Oryctolagus cuniculus: one gene and its partners. The protein of the gene in region 2 interacts with the protein of the main gene of each other region in a pairwise test. Links are inferred from orthologs where the notes say so. Each region holds a gene or a part of one and is shown on either strand. Other genes may lie near its edges.

Region 1 (3,517 bases), about 35 Mb from region 2:
CGCTGGTTCCAGTCCCAGCTGCTCCTCTTCCGATCCAGCTCCCTGCTAACACGACTGGAAAGCAGTGGAAGACGACTCAAGTGTTTGCATCCATGCACACATATGGGAGACCAGGAAGAAGCTCTGGGCTCCTGGTTTTGGTCTGGACCCACCCTGGCTATTGCGGCCTTTTGGGAAATGAACCAGCAGATGGTTCTCTCTTCTCCTTCCCTCTCACCCTGTAACTCTGGCTTTCAAACAAAATAAATAAATCTTATGAAAAAAAAAAAAAAGCACCACAAAGATATAAAAATACTTTTTGCTCATATGACAACACCCCAAGTAAGAAAATGACATCAATCCTAACTCTAAGAGACATATTCTTTTTTAATCACTAGTTTTTAGCTTAGGAAACTTTATTAAGAAGCTTCTAAGTTAGGCCACCAAAGTTACAACTGTATTGCTAAAAAAAAAAAAAGGACCTATAAAATCTAACCACACAAAACATCCCAAACCTATCAGATGTTTACCTTGAATATCTCTCTACATGGCTGCAAAGATCAAATGACATAATGCATGTGAAAATGCTGAAGTGCTATTTTGTGTGATGATACTCGTGATGACTAGCAAAAGTCAGATCACCTGATTTATGAGGGCTATAAAACAGGAATTTTTGAAAAGGCTTATTTTATACATACATATCATACAGAGAAACAAATGTTTGTGACAACACTGACCCAAATAATTTTCAAATATGCTACTTAGGTCTTTCAGGAAAAAAACTGTAGTAGCTGATCTGTAAATGTCTTTAAAATTAGCTATTTTAGTAATTTGTGGCTGGTGCTGTGGCATAACAAGTCAAACTGCCGCCTGCAATGACAGCATTTCATGTGGGTGCCGGTTCAAGTTCAACTCCCTACTAACGGCCTGGGAAAGCAGCAGATAACGGCCCAAGTCCTTTGGCCTCTGTACCCATGTGGGAGACCCGGATAAAACTCCTGGCTTCGGCCTGGTCTAGCCCTGACGGCTGTGGCCATTTAGGGAGTGAACCACAGGATGGAAGATTTCTCTGTCGCGCCCTCTCTCTCTCTAGCTTTGCTTTTCAGATAAAAAAATAAATCTACAAAAAAATTAGCTATTTTAGTAATTTAAATAAATTTACTTTCTTAGTTGTACTCTGTTATAAACTTCATATTTAAACTCTTTTTCTTTGATTAATCCAAGTGTTTTCTTTATATCTTAACAATTTTAGTGACTTTGGCTAAAAGAAACAAAGCCAAAGAATTGGAGCCATTCACAAGTTCATTGGTTAGAAATGGAAAAGCCATGATTTTCTTTCTCATGCAAGGACTTTTCATTATGAAGATAAGGTTAATTTAGGTATTTCTGGCTTGGTAAATGACATCACTACAGCAGTGTATCTTGTTTTTCTTTATAACCTTCAAAAAGAGTCTCCAAATGGTTATTTTAAAAAGTCTGCTAATAACAAAAAGCAGGTATTGTAAAAAAGTGGAATTTTCTATCCTACACAGACTGCAATGCTGCTAGAACTGACAGCTTGTCACATTTAGACCCATCATTACGCACTGTCTCACACCACTGTTCACAAAGGGTCTTCAGAAAGTTCACTGGAAAATGAAAATTACAAAAAATCTCTGCATGGATTTCACACCAAAATAAACTTCTCTGTTAATTTCATTTTCCATGAAGTTTCTGAAGTACCTTCCTACATTCTATACCCAGTCCTATGTTACCTATCCAAGGAAATGGAAATCCCTAAACTGGTAATCACAGTCACCCTTCATCTGTAAAATCACAAGTGACCTAAATGCATATCAAAGCACTCAATGTTTCTGTATGTGAGGAAATCAAGAAAAACAGCAAATGAGCTACTTACTTTGCATCCCAACCCTCATTCTTAAGGTTTGTTCGCCCCATTCCTGAGGGTTTTTTTGATATCCCGAGCCTAGAGCAAATGCATATATCAAAATATCATTTCATATACTTTGAAAGTTAACATATTATATTCTTGTGTTATATATCTATCAGGAAGTCTAAATAAAGTAGGAGAGGAAAACAATGAAAGCAATAGTTTGAGAAGTAAAAGATAATTTCAAGGGAGTGTATCAGTAAGGATTGAATCACTTTTTATAACAAAACAGGTAGCAAAACAAATGCATCGCCACCCAACAGAAAAAACTGTGTGTAAGTCCTGTGCAGGGGTCTATGAGAATGACTTGGAGGAAAAGTTCACCACCACCTCTTGCCCAGAGCAATTACCACATGCAGTACCGATGTGTGTCAGAGAAGAAAAGCAAAGAGGGTAAGATGACTTAAAATTCCAACAGGATCTTTTGTTGGCAGCGTAACGTGGGGTTGGAACTGACCGCTTGAAGAGAGGGGCAGCCACTAACCACTTACTCAGCACTGCAGGCTGCTTGTCACGGGCTCTGACATCTCCACCTGAGGCAGGAGACAGGGGTAAGGTCAGAAACACTCGGAATAGAAACAAAAAATAGGCTATACAGACACTGCTCACTACTGCAGATACCAAACACATACAAAAAGTCAAACCCTTCTCTCACCAATCCCAAACATAAACACTAAATGTATGTATTCCCCTTCCTAAACTTTAAAATGACCAGCAAGTGGACAATAACAAGGACTCAGTTTTAGGATCATTACCATCAAAATAATGACAATGTGTTATATGTTTACCAGGTGTCAAATGTAAATTTACTTAGTTCCTATGCTTTATGTGTGGGAGATACTATCATTATCTTTTTTACAAACTCGTAATTTTATCAAGGTCATGTATCTGAAAGTAGTTGAGATACATGTACAGGCAGTCCATACTAAATATCATGCCATATAGAACAGTATGTAATATATATGTAAATTTGTGGACATTACAAAGTAGCTATGCAGAAATGTTATTTCAAGTTCTTTAATGGTATTTAAGGATAATGCTAAAATGGTACAATGGAATAATTAGAAAATAACATTTAAAAATTACAAAAAAGTAGATGTTCAAATTATCTTTGAAGAAGTAAATTATTTTTACCCACTCTTGATTAAGTATCAACGGAAATTTATTTTTTCTGAATTCAAATGAAATACATGCTATCTATAAAAAGGTACCATTCTAGGAATGCATAACATAAAATTCATGAATGTTTGTTAAGTACCTACTATGTTCAAAACACTAAGTGTTAGGGATACCATGATATTAAAATATGTATTTTTGGGGGGGCTGGCGCTGTGGTGCAGCGGGTTGAGGCCCTGGCCTGAAGCACCAGCATCCCATGTGGGTGCCAATTCTAGTCCCGCTGTTCTACTTCTGATCTGGCTCTCTGCTGTGGCCTGGGAAAGCAGTAGAGGATGGCCCAAGTCCTCGGGTCCCTGCACCTATGTGGGAGATGCAGAAGTTCCTGGCTCCTGGCTTCGGATTGGTGCAGCTCTGGCCATTGTGGCCATCTGGGGAGTGAACCAGTGGATGGAAGACCTCTCTCTCTTTGCCTCTCCTCTCTCTGTGTAA
Region 2 (4,109 bases):
CAGGCAACCCTCTCTGGAGCTTTCAACCTGCCCATTCTCCAGCACTTAGGTGTCCTAATCCCTGGGCTCCAGAATAGAAAGGGAAGGTGTGTGTGTGTGTGTGTGTACCCCTGGGTGTGGCCAAGTTCCCCAGGCAGGGCCAAAAGTTGCCACAGGGTCTTACAGATAGCCCTGTATCTCACCTCAAGTCTGGCCATGAACTCTGAGCTCTAATTAAACATTAAACCAGAGGACACCTCTCTTTGGTGATGGGAGGGGTTGGGGCACTGCCTTTCTTCCTCTCCCAAACTCTTCATTCTGGGCACTTCTCCCTTACCCTGAGCTGAGCAGATACAAAAGGAAGCCACCAATCCCACCTCCTAACGTGGACATAGAAGGGAAGAGACACCCCAGTTCGAGCCCCTCTGCCCCCACCCCACCTGCCGTCAACCTGGGATCCAGGTGTGCAAACCTACTCCCTCTTCCGGAAGCTCAGCCTTGCCTGGTCAGGATCAGTGGGGGAGAAGACAGGCAGGTGGCTAAATATAACAAGGAGGCACACCACCCCCGCCCGGTGTCCCAGGCCTGGACAGCTGCACCGGGAGGCCGAGGAGACAGACCCGTGCGGCGGTGGGGAACAAGAAACTACAGACTCCTCTCCAATCAATGTTCCCCCAGCTCCCTTCATAGGATCCCTGGGGGAGGAGGGGGGGTTGGCTTTGGAAATTCAGCAGAATAGTTTAGAACTAATCCACTGTGGCTCCCCTAGCTTGCCTCCTATCTGCCTTGCTAAGTTGCTCGTATCACTAGTGGAAAAAGACAGGTGATCTCTTTCAACAGACGTCAAGGTTGAACCAGCCCCCCCCCCAACACACACACACACACACACACACACACACACACATAACTTCGGGAAGGCCATGGGTCTCTCACACATGGGGCTGGGGGCTAGCAGAGGGCAGAAGGGCCACAGAAAACATCCGGTGGTTCCGGGAAGAGTTATGAGCCTGGAGCAGAAAAATGCAAAGGGAGCGAAGGAGGTGAGGTCAGAGGCACCAGCGCCCGGGGGATCTCCAAGCACCTGTAAGAGCTCTTTGGCCGGGGCCTTCACAGGAAAGGGGAGAGAGGAGAAGAAACCAAATTCTGGGGTGGGGGAGGCTGGAAGAAGAGGGCCCTAACCTCCAGACTTCCGAAGGCCTTGTTAGAAGGGAAGGTGGAGTTGTGTAGGGTGGGGTGGGGTGGGGCAGGGATGGGTGAAGTGGGAGGGGCCTGAACCTTCCAACGGCCGGATTTCAAAAATGTCACTGTATTCCAGCAGTTTAATAAGGCGCACATCAAAACGTCAGCGGCGGAAGGATGGGCCAGGGCAAAGACTGCTCTGGCCTGGCTGGGAAAATGAAAGTGGCTCACCCAGAGCGGGGGAGGGAAGGACGGAGCCCCCAGCCCTCAAAGACATCAGGTGGAGGGCCAAGGGGTGGGGGGGTGAGGAGGGTTGCCTCCAGCTCTGGCCATAACACAACTTCCTGAGCCAGGAGCCTCTGCCCTGTCTCCCTCCCTCCCTTGCATTCCTGGGCCAAGCAGGCCAAGGGCTGTGGGAGCTGCGGGGGAGCCAGTCTCCTGGAGCTGTTTTGGTGGGCCCGGTCTGGGAGGTGCAGGGAGTGAGGGAGAAAGAACTCAGGCAAAGGGAGGGCCTGGGGAGCCACCACCACGCCCTGGGAGTGGTAAGGGGGGGCTCTGATGACCTCTCTCGCACCCCTGGATGGATGCCAGCTTGGGAGCCCTGTCCTATAGGGGCTCCTGCGTTCAGAGCCAGCCTGGGCAAAGCTGGCACAGAGCCAAGCCTGCCAAGAAAGTTCTAATAGGACCCCTTCACCCACTCCAACGTGTCCTGGGTGCCTGGGGCCAAAGGGCTTAGATCCGGCAGGGCCAGTCGGCTTTGCTCAAGCCCTTGTGCTAGCCTCCAAATGGCTGGCAACTCCCACCCCGCCAGAACGCGGGCCTGCCACTGGCCCCTACTACTCCTTAGAGCCGCCGCCCTCTCTCGAAGACCCTCCCCTCTCTGCCCCGTCCTGACAGTTCCCCTTGGCACCGCCAGTCGCCCCCGCCGGGGGCAGTTCCGGGGAGGGAGGAGACTCCATGGCGAAGTTACCGGCCTCCCGGGCCCTCCCGCTCCCACTCCTTTCCCGGAGCCGGCCAGGGGTCCCTGCACGCGCCACCTGCGCTCACTCACCGCGCTTTGAGCTCCTTAAACTCCTCGCGCACTTTGCTCAGCTCCAGCTGCAGGCGGGCGCGCTCCTTGGCCACAGAGTCGAGGGTCTTGCGGGCATCCCCGAGCTCCGCCTCGTAGGCGGCCTTGATGCCGGACACCTCGCGGCTGACCACCTCTTCCGACTCGGTGATGCGAAGGCGCAGCCCCGCGTTCTCCGTCTCCAGCGAGCGCACACGGTCGATGTAGACGGCCAAGCGGTCATTGAGCTCCTGCAGGTCCTCCTTCTCCTGCAGCCGGGTGATGCGGGTGGGCGACAGCGGGGTGGAGCTGGCCTGCGCCCCGCTGCGGGTGGCGCGCCGCTGGGACGGGGTCTCCATGGCCGGCAGGGTGGCAAGGCTGCCCGCAGGGCAGGGGTCCCGGGAAGGGCGCGGAGCTCGGAGCGGAGGACGGAGGCTTCTCAGGGGCGGAGCGCGCCGGCCGGCTGGTCGCGGCTCGCTCCTGGCAGGCGCGCAGATCGGGGCCGGGCGCTGTCAGACCTCGGGAGCCGGGTTGGCTGGCGTGGCTGCGGCGCTCCCGCGAACACTGAGTCACCGGCGCCGGGGCCGAGGCTCTAATAGGTCCTCCTCTATGGGGAGGCGGGGCCGCTGCTCTTAAAGGGGCCGTCGCATACCCAAGGGGTCGGGGCTTAGGAGTGGGGAGGAGGGACCCGGGCAGCTGCGGAGTCGGGCCCCACCCTGCCCAGCGCACGCCGGGTGCTTGGGGCTTTGCTGACGCTTCCCCCGTCTTGGTTCCTGCCTGCCCAGCGCTCTCAGCTCCAAGCTTGCCCCCACGGCCTCAGGCCTTCTGGGACAGAGGGCAGAGCCCAGGGGAGAGAGTGGGTGGGCAAAGGGGAGTGGAGGAGGGGTCGAGCAGGCAGGACTGGGGAGCCAGGAGAGTGGGGGAGGGCTGAGGTTGGTGCCCTCCTTCCTGAGGGTGACTCACCCTCCTTCCACCGCTGGCTCCCCCTCCCCTCCCCATAGTAACAGTGAGTCACCCCCAACCCCCCTGCGCACGTGGGCAGCCCATTCAAAGCTATATCTCAGGATGCCAGGGGATGGGGTGCGGTGGGGTGGAAGGATTGCTTGTGTCCGGGAGGGGGGAGGCTGCAAAGTTCTGGAACCTGTGTTCCCCCATACCCTCAGTTTGGGGGCAGGGATCCCCTTTTTCGCTTGTTTTTGTCTTCCAAATACAAGCATTGGATCTTAGACCCAAGCAACAAGCTGCAGCCCCAAGAGAAAGCCAAGAATAGGACCCAGGCACTGCCCCGCCTGTCTCCTGGCCCCCTCCTTTGGAACCAAGCAATTGGAAAATGAGGCTGCCTGGGTTCCTCCCCACCCAGCCAGCTCCAGAACTGTACTTATTTTACTGGATAATCTAAAACAGATAGCAGAGCTGTGCGTGCGTGCGCTCATCGCGTTGCCAAGACACCAGGTCCTAGATTTTTGTGGTTCCCCGAGAGGCCTGAAAGGGGGAGCAGGGCCAGGGGCTGGCTCTCCATCTTGGCTTCCCATCTTAGTCGCAGGCAGAAAGGGGACAGTGGAGGGCAGGAAGAGTAAAGACACCCCCCACCCCAAGCCTGGCTGGCCCCAAAGGCTGGCACTGGGTTGCCACTTCCCTCCGGCCAGGGCTGTCTGGGGAGACCGTGTCACCCAGGTCCCCAGTCTTCCCTAGCACAGGCCCTCGGGCGCCATCCTCAGGCCTCACCCAAAGCCCCCTGAGATCAGCCTTCCACCCCGCTCCTCCAGGGCCAGCCCAGCCCCAGCACCTCCTCCTCAGTATGGAGCTTCCTGCCCCCGTGCCGCCTACAGCTTATTCTGATGAGGAACCTGGGAAATTGAATTACGTTGCTAATGCTACAACTCCAGGACATCAGGCCACTGCC
Region 3 (3,517 bases), on a different chromosome or scaffold from region 2:
TGGCTGTTGTAGACATTTGGGGAGTGAACCAGAGGATGGAAGTCCTTTCTCTCCGTCTCTCCCTCTCTCTGTCTATAACTTTACCTCTCAAATAAATAAATCCATTTATATTTACTTGAAAAGCAGACAGACCAAGGGAGAGGCAGACTAAAACCCATTGGTTCACTCCCAAACACCTGCAACAGCTGGAGTTGGGCCAGGCCAAAGCTGAGAGCTAGAAACTCAATCCACAGGGCTGGCACTGGCGTAGTGGGTAAAGCCACCGCCTGCAGTGCCAGCATCCCACATGGGTGCTGGTTCAAGTCCCGGCTGCTCCATTACCAATCCAGCTCTCCGCTATGGCCTGGGAAAACAGTAAAAGATGGCCCAAGTCTTTGGGCCCCTGCACCCATGTGGGAGACCCGGAAGAAGCTCCTGGCTCCTGGCTTCGGATTGGTGCAGCTCTGGTTGTTGCAGCCAATTGTGGAGTGAACTAGTGGATCTCTCTCTCCGCCTCTTAAATAAATAAATAGGAAGATAGGAAGATAGGAAGATAGGAAGGAAGGAAGGAAGGAAGGAAGGAAGGAAGGAAGGAAGGAAGGAAGGAAGGAAGGAAGGAAGGAAGGAAGGAAGGAAGGAAGGGAGTCAATCCAGTTCTTCCATGTGGATGGTAGGGACTCAACTACTTGAGCCATCACCTGCTGCCTCCCAGGGTGCACATCAGCAGGAAGCTGAAATCGGAAGCAAATCTGGGACTGGGACCTATCACACTCCAATACGGCATGTGGATATCCTAAGCAGTGTTCTAACCACCAGGGCACACCTGCCTTTAAATACCTCTTTTAATTTGATTTTCCATGCATTTTAAAAACATTTATTTTATTTATTTGAAAGGTAGAGTTACAGAGAAGGGGGGGAGTCTTCCATCTGCTGATTGACTCCCCAAATGGCCACAATGGCCAGGATGGGCCAGAGTGAAGCCAGGAGCCAGGAGCTCCATCTGGGTCTCCAATGTGGGTACAGGGGCCTAAGCACTTGTACCATCCTCTGCTACTTTCCCAGGCACATTAGCAGGGAACTGGATCAGAAGAGGAGCAGTGGGGACTCCAACTGGTGCCCGTATGGGGTGCTGGCACTGCAGGTAGAGGCTTAACCTGCTATGCCACAGTGCGTGTACCTCCATGATTTTTTTTTTAAGATGTATTTATTTATTTGAAAGGCAGACTTATAGAAAGACAGAGAAAGGTAGAGAAGGAGATATCTTCCATCTTCTGGTTCATCCCCCAAATGGCTACCATGGCCAGGGCCCAGCCAGACAGAAGCCAGAACTCCATGGTCTCCCATGTGGGTGCAGGGGCCCAAGCACTTGGACCATCTTCTGCTGCTTTCTCAGATACATCAGCAGGAAGAGGAGTGGCTGGGACTCGAACTGGTGTTCATATGGGATGCTAGTATTGAAGGCTGTGGTTAACCCACTGTACCCCAATGCCGACCTCTCTGTGAATGATCTGAAGGATGCTTGTGCTCGCCAGGCCCTGCCCTGGATACAGAAAACATTCACGTAATTCTCCCAAGTGCAGGTCTTTTTGCCCCCGGCCAAGGCTGAGGTTCCAGCAGCAGATGAATATTCCCAAGCACTGGATTCGCCCAAGGCCACACTCCAAGCTGCAGCGCCTGGACATGAACCTGGCTGCCGGCTCTGAAGCTGCGCTCTTACTAGGGCTGAACAGCCCCAGTAACATGCAGGCCACACTGCCCATGTGACCCAGCACCAGGCCTTACTCCTTCTTCAGCTCTTGCCTGGCAGCCAGTAAGAGGGAAGGAGTGGAGGGCGGCACTGTGGCCCAGTGGGTTAGTCCCGGCCTGCGGCACTGGCATCCCACATGGGTGCCAGTTGGAGTCCCAGCTGCTCCTCTTCTGATGCAGCTCCCTGCTCATGTGCCTGGGAAAGCACCGGAGGATGGCCCAAGTGCTTGGGTCCCTGCTCCCACATGGGAGACCTAGAGGAGGATCCTGGCTCCTGCCTACCGACTGGCTCAGCTCCGGCCATTGCAGCTATTTGGAGAGTGAACCAGTGGATGGGAGACCTCTCTCTCTGTGTCTCTACCTCTCTGTAACTCTTTCAAGTAAATAAAATAAATAAATAAATCTTTAAAAACAAGAAAGGGCGGGGCTGAGCACAGGCCCACAGCGCAGCGCTCTAGGAAGGGCTGCCCGCCTGGCGCCAGCAGGGTCGGCAGAGGTGCCGCACTCACATTGCTCATGAGCCCCTTGAAGACCACCAGCTCCGCTTTCAGCTGCTCCACTTTCATGGCCAGCTCCTCTTGGCACGCGTCAGCCTCCTGGGCTTCCTATGAGCGGGGAAGACCACGACATCAGTGGCCACGTGGGCAGAAGCTTACGATGACAAGGAGGCACAAGGAGCCGGCACTGGGGCCAAAGGCCCGTGGGGGGACCCCGAGGGGAGCACAGGCAACAGGCCAGCCGCCCTCACCTCCTGGAGCTCGGTCACTCGGTCTTGCAGCTGCATGCGCACCGTGTACTCTTCTTCCCACCTGACACACAAGGCAAGGAGGGGAGAGAACTCAGGCACTGAGGCCTCCCTGGCCTGCAGTTCCCGGGTCAGGCTCAGCCCCCAGGCGGGGGCCAGCAGCAGCTGTTGGCTGCTTACCAGCTGCCTGCCCGGAACTCCGGGCCACGCCCCAGGACTATATTTAAGAGCAGCTGCTGCTGCTCTAGGCCCTGGCACCCCAGCTCCCCCAGCTGTCTGGCCAGCCTCGACACCCACCACCTGCCCACACCAGACTGCCAGGCCCGCCCGGCCCAGTCTCCCACCTTCAGTGGCACAGATCCGGTCTCCCGCCTCCTGCCCGCACCAGAACAGAGCTTGTCTAGCCCGCTGCCCTGTCTCCCGTGGGACCATTTAACCCTGCAAAGCATCTGCAGGACACACACCATATCAACAGGGCTGTCAGGAGCCTGGGAGGGAGGAGATGCTCAGAGTCCTGTTCCCCCCCCCCCAGTTCCCCCCAAGCCCCCTCTACAGGAGCCGCAGAGAGGAGGCAGGGCCGGCCCAGGGGCCTCAACTCCCCAGCAGCCTGAAAGCAGTAGACAGCAGGAGGCGGACGGAGAGAAATGCCCAAACCCAGGGGGAAAGGGAGATGAGAGCGGCTGCAGTCCCCACGACTCAGAACGCAGACACTAAGGGGGCCACACGTGGGCTCAAGGCACTGGCAGCCACGGGGCAGGGCCCAGGGCCCAGTGGGAAGGGGAGGCGGGAACGACACCACTGTCACCCCAGGACCTATTCACCTGTCACGCTCAGACCCCCCTCGCTGCCTCATCAGAACGGGGGCTGCACCGAGACAGAAAGCTGGTTAGCAAGCAGCGAGGAGGACAGCCAAGAAATCAAAACCAAGAGTGCGCTCCCAGAGCCGGGATTCCGTCTCTTCATGCCCCTCCCTCCGTGGCCCTCTCCAGGCCGGCCCTCCTCGTGCCCTCCTGTGCAGCTCACCCGCAGCCGCACTGCAGTGTTCCT

What was found. The genes of interacting proteins can lie anywhere in the genome.
Region 1: the proteins of LMNA (region 2) and TOR1AIP1 interact in a two-hybrid assay, tested with the Homo sapiens proteins (2 studies listed by BioGRID). The link is inferred for Oryctolagus cuniculus from reciprocal best matches to the Homo sapiens genes LMNA and TOR1AIP1.
Region 3: the proteins of LMNA (region 2) and IFFO1 interact in binary tests that used the Homo sapiens proteins (3 or more experiments, as listed by UniProt). The link is inferred for Oryctolagus cuniculus from reciprocal best matches to the Homo sapiens genes LMNA and IFFO1.

What each region holds. Positions count from the first base shown.
Region 1 is NC_091438.1:8,058,334-8,061,850, reverse strand, and holds part of TOR1AIP1 (torsin-1A-interacting protein 1), read right to left. Parts: intron 2,443-3,517; coding exon 2,401-2,442; intron 1,946-2,400; coding exon 1,877-1,945; intron 1-1,876. UniProt on the Homo sapiens protein: Required for nuclear membrane integrity. Induces TOR1A and TOR1B ATPase activity and is required for their location on the nuclear membrane. Binds to A- and B-type lamins. Possible role in membrane attachment and assembly of the nuclear lamina.
Region 2 is NC_091438.1:42,585,908-42,590,016, forward strand, and holds the start of LMNA (lamin), read right to left. Parts: upstream 2,815-4,109; 5' UTR 2,566-2,814; coding exon 2,210-2,565; intron 231-2,209; exon of another isoform or gene 1-230.
Region 3 is NC_091440.1:102,949,552-102,953,068, reverse strand, and holds part of IFFO1 (non-homologous end joining factor IFFO1), read right to left. Parts: intron 2,535-3,517; coding exon 2,474-2,534; intron 2,331-2,473; coding exon 2,235-2,330; intron 1-2,234. UniProt on the Homo sapiens protein: Nuclear matrix protein involved in the immobilization of broken DNA ends and the suppression of chromosome translocation during DNA double-strand breaks (DSBs).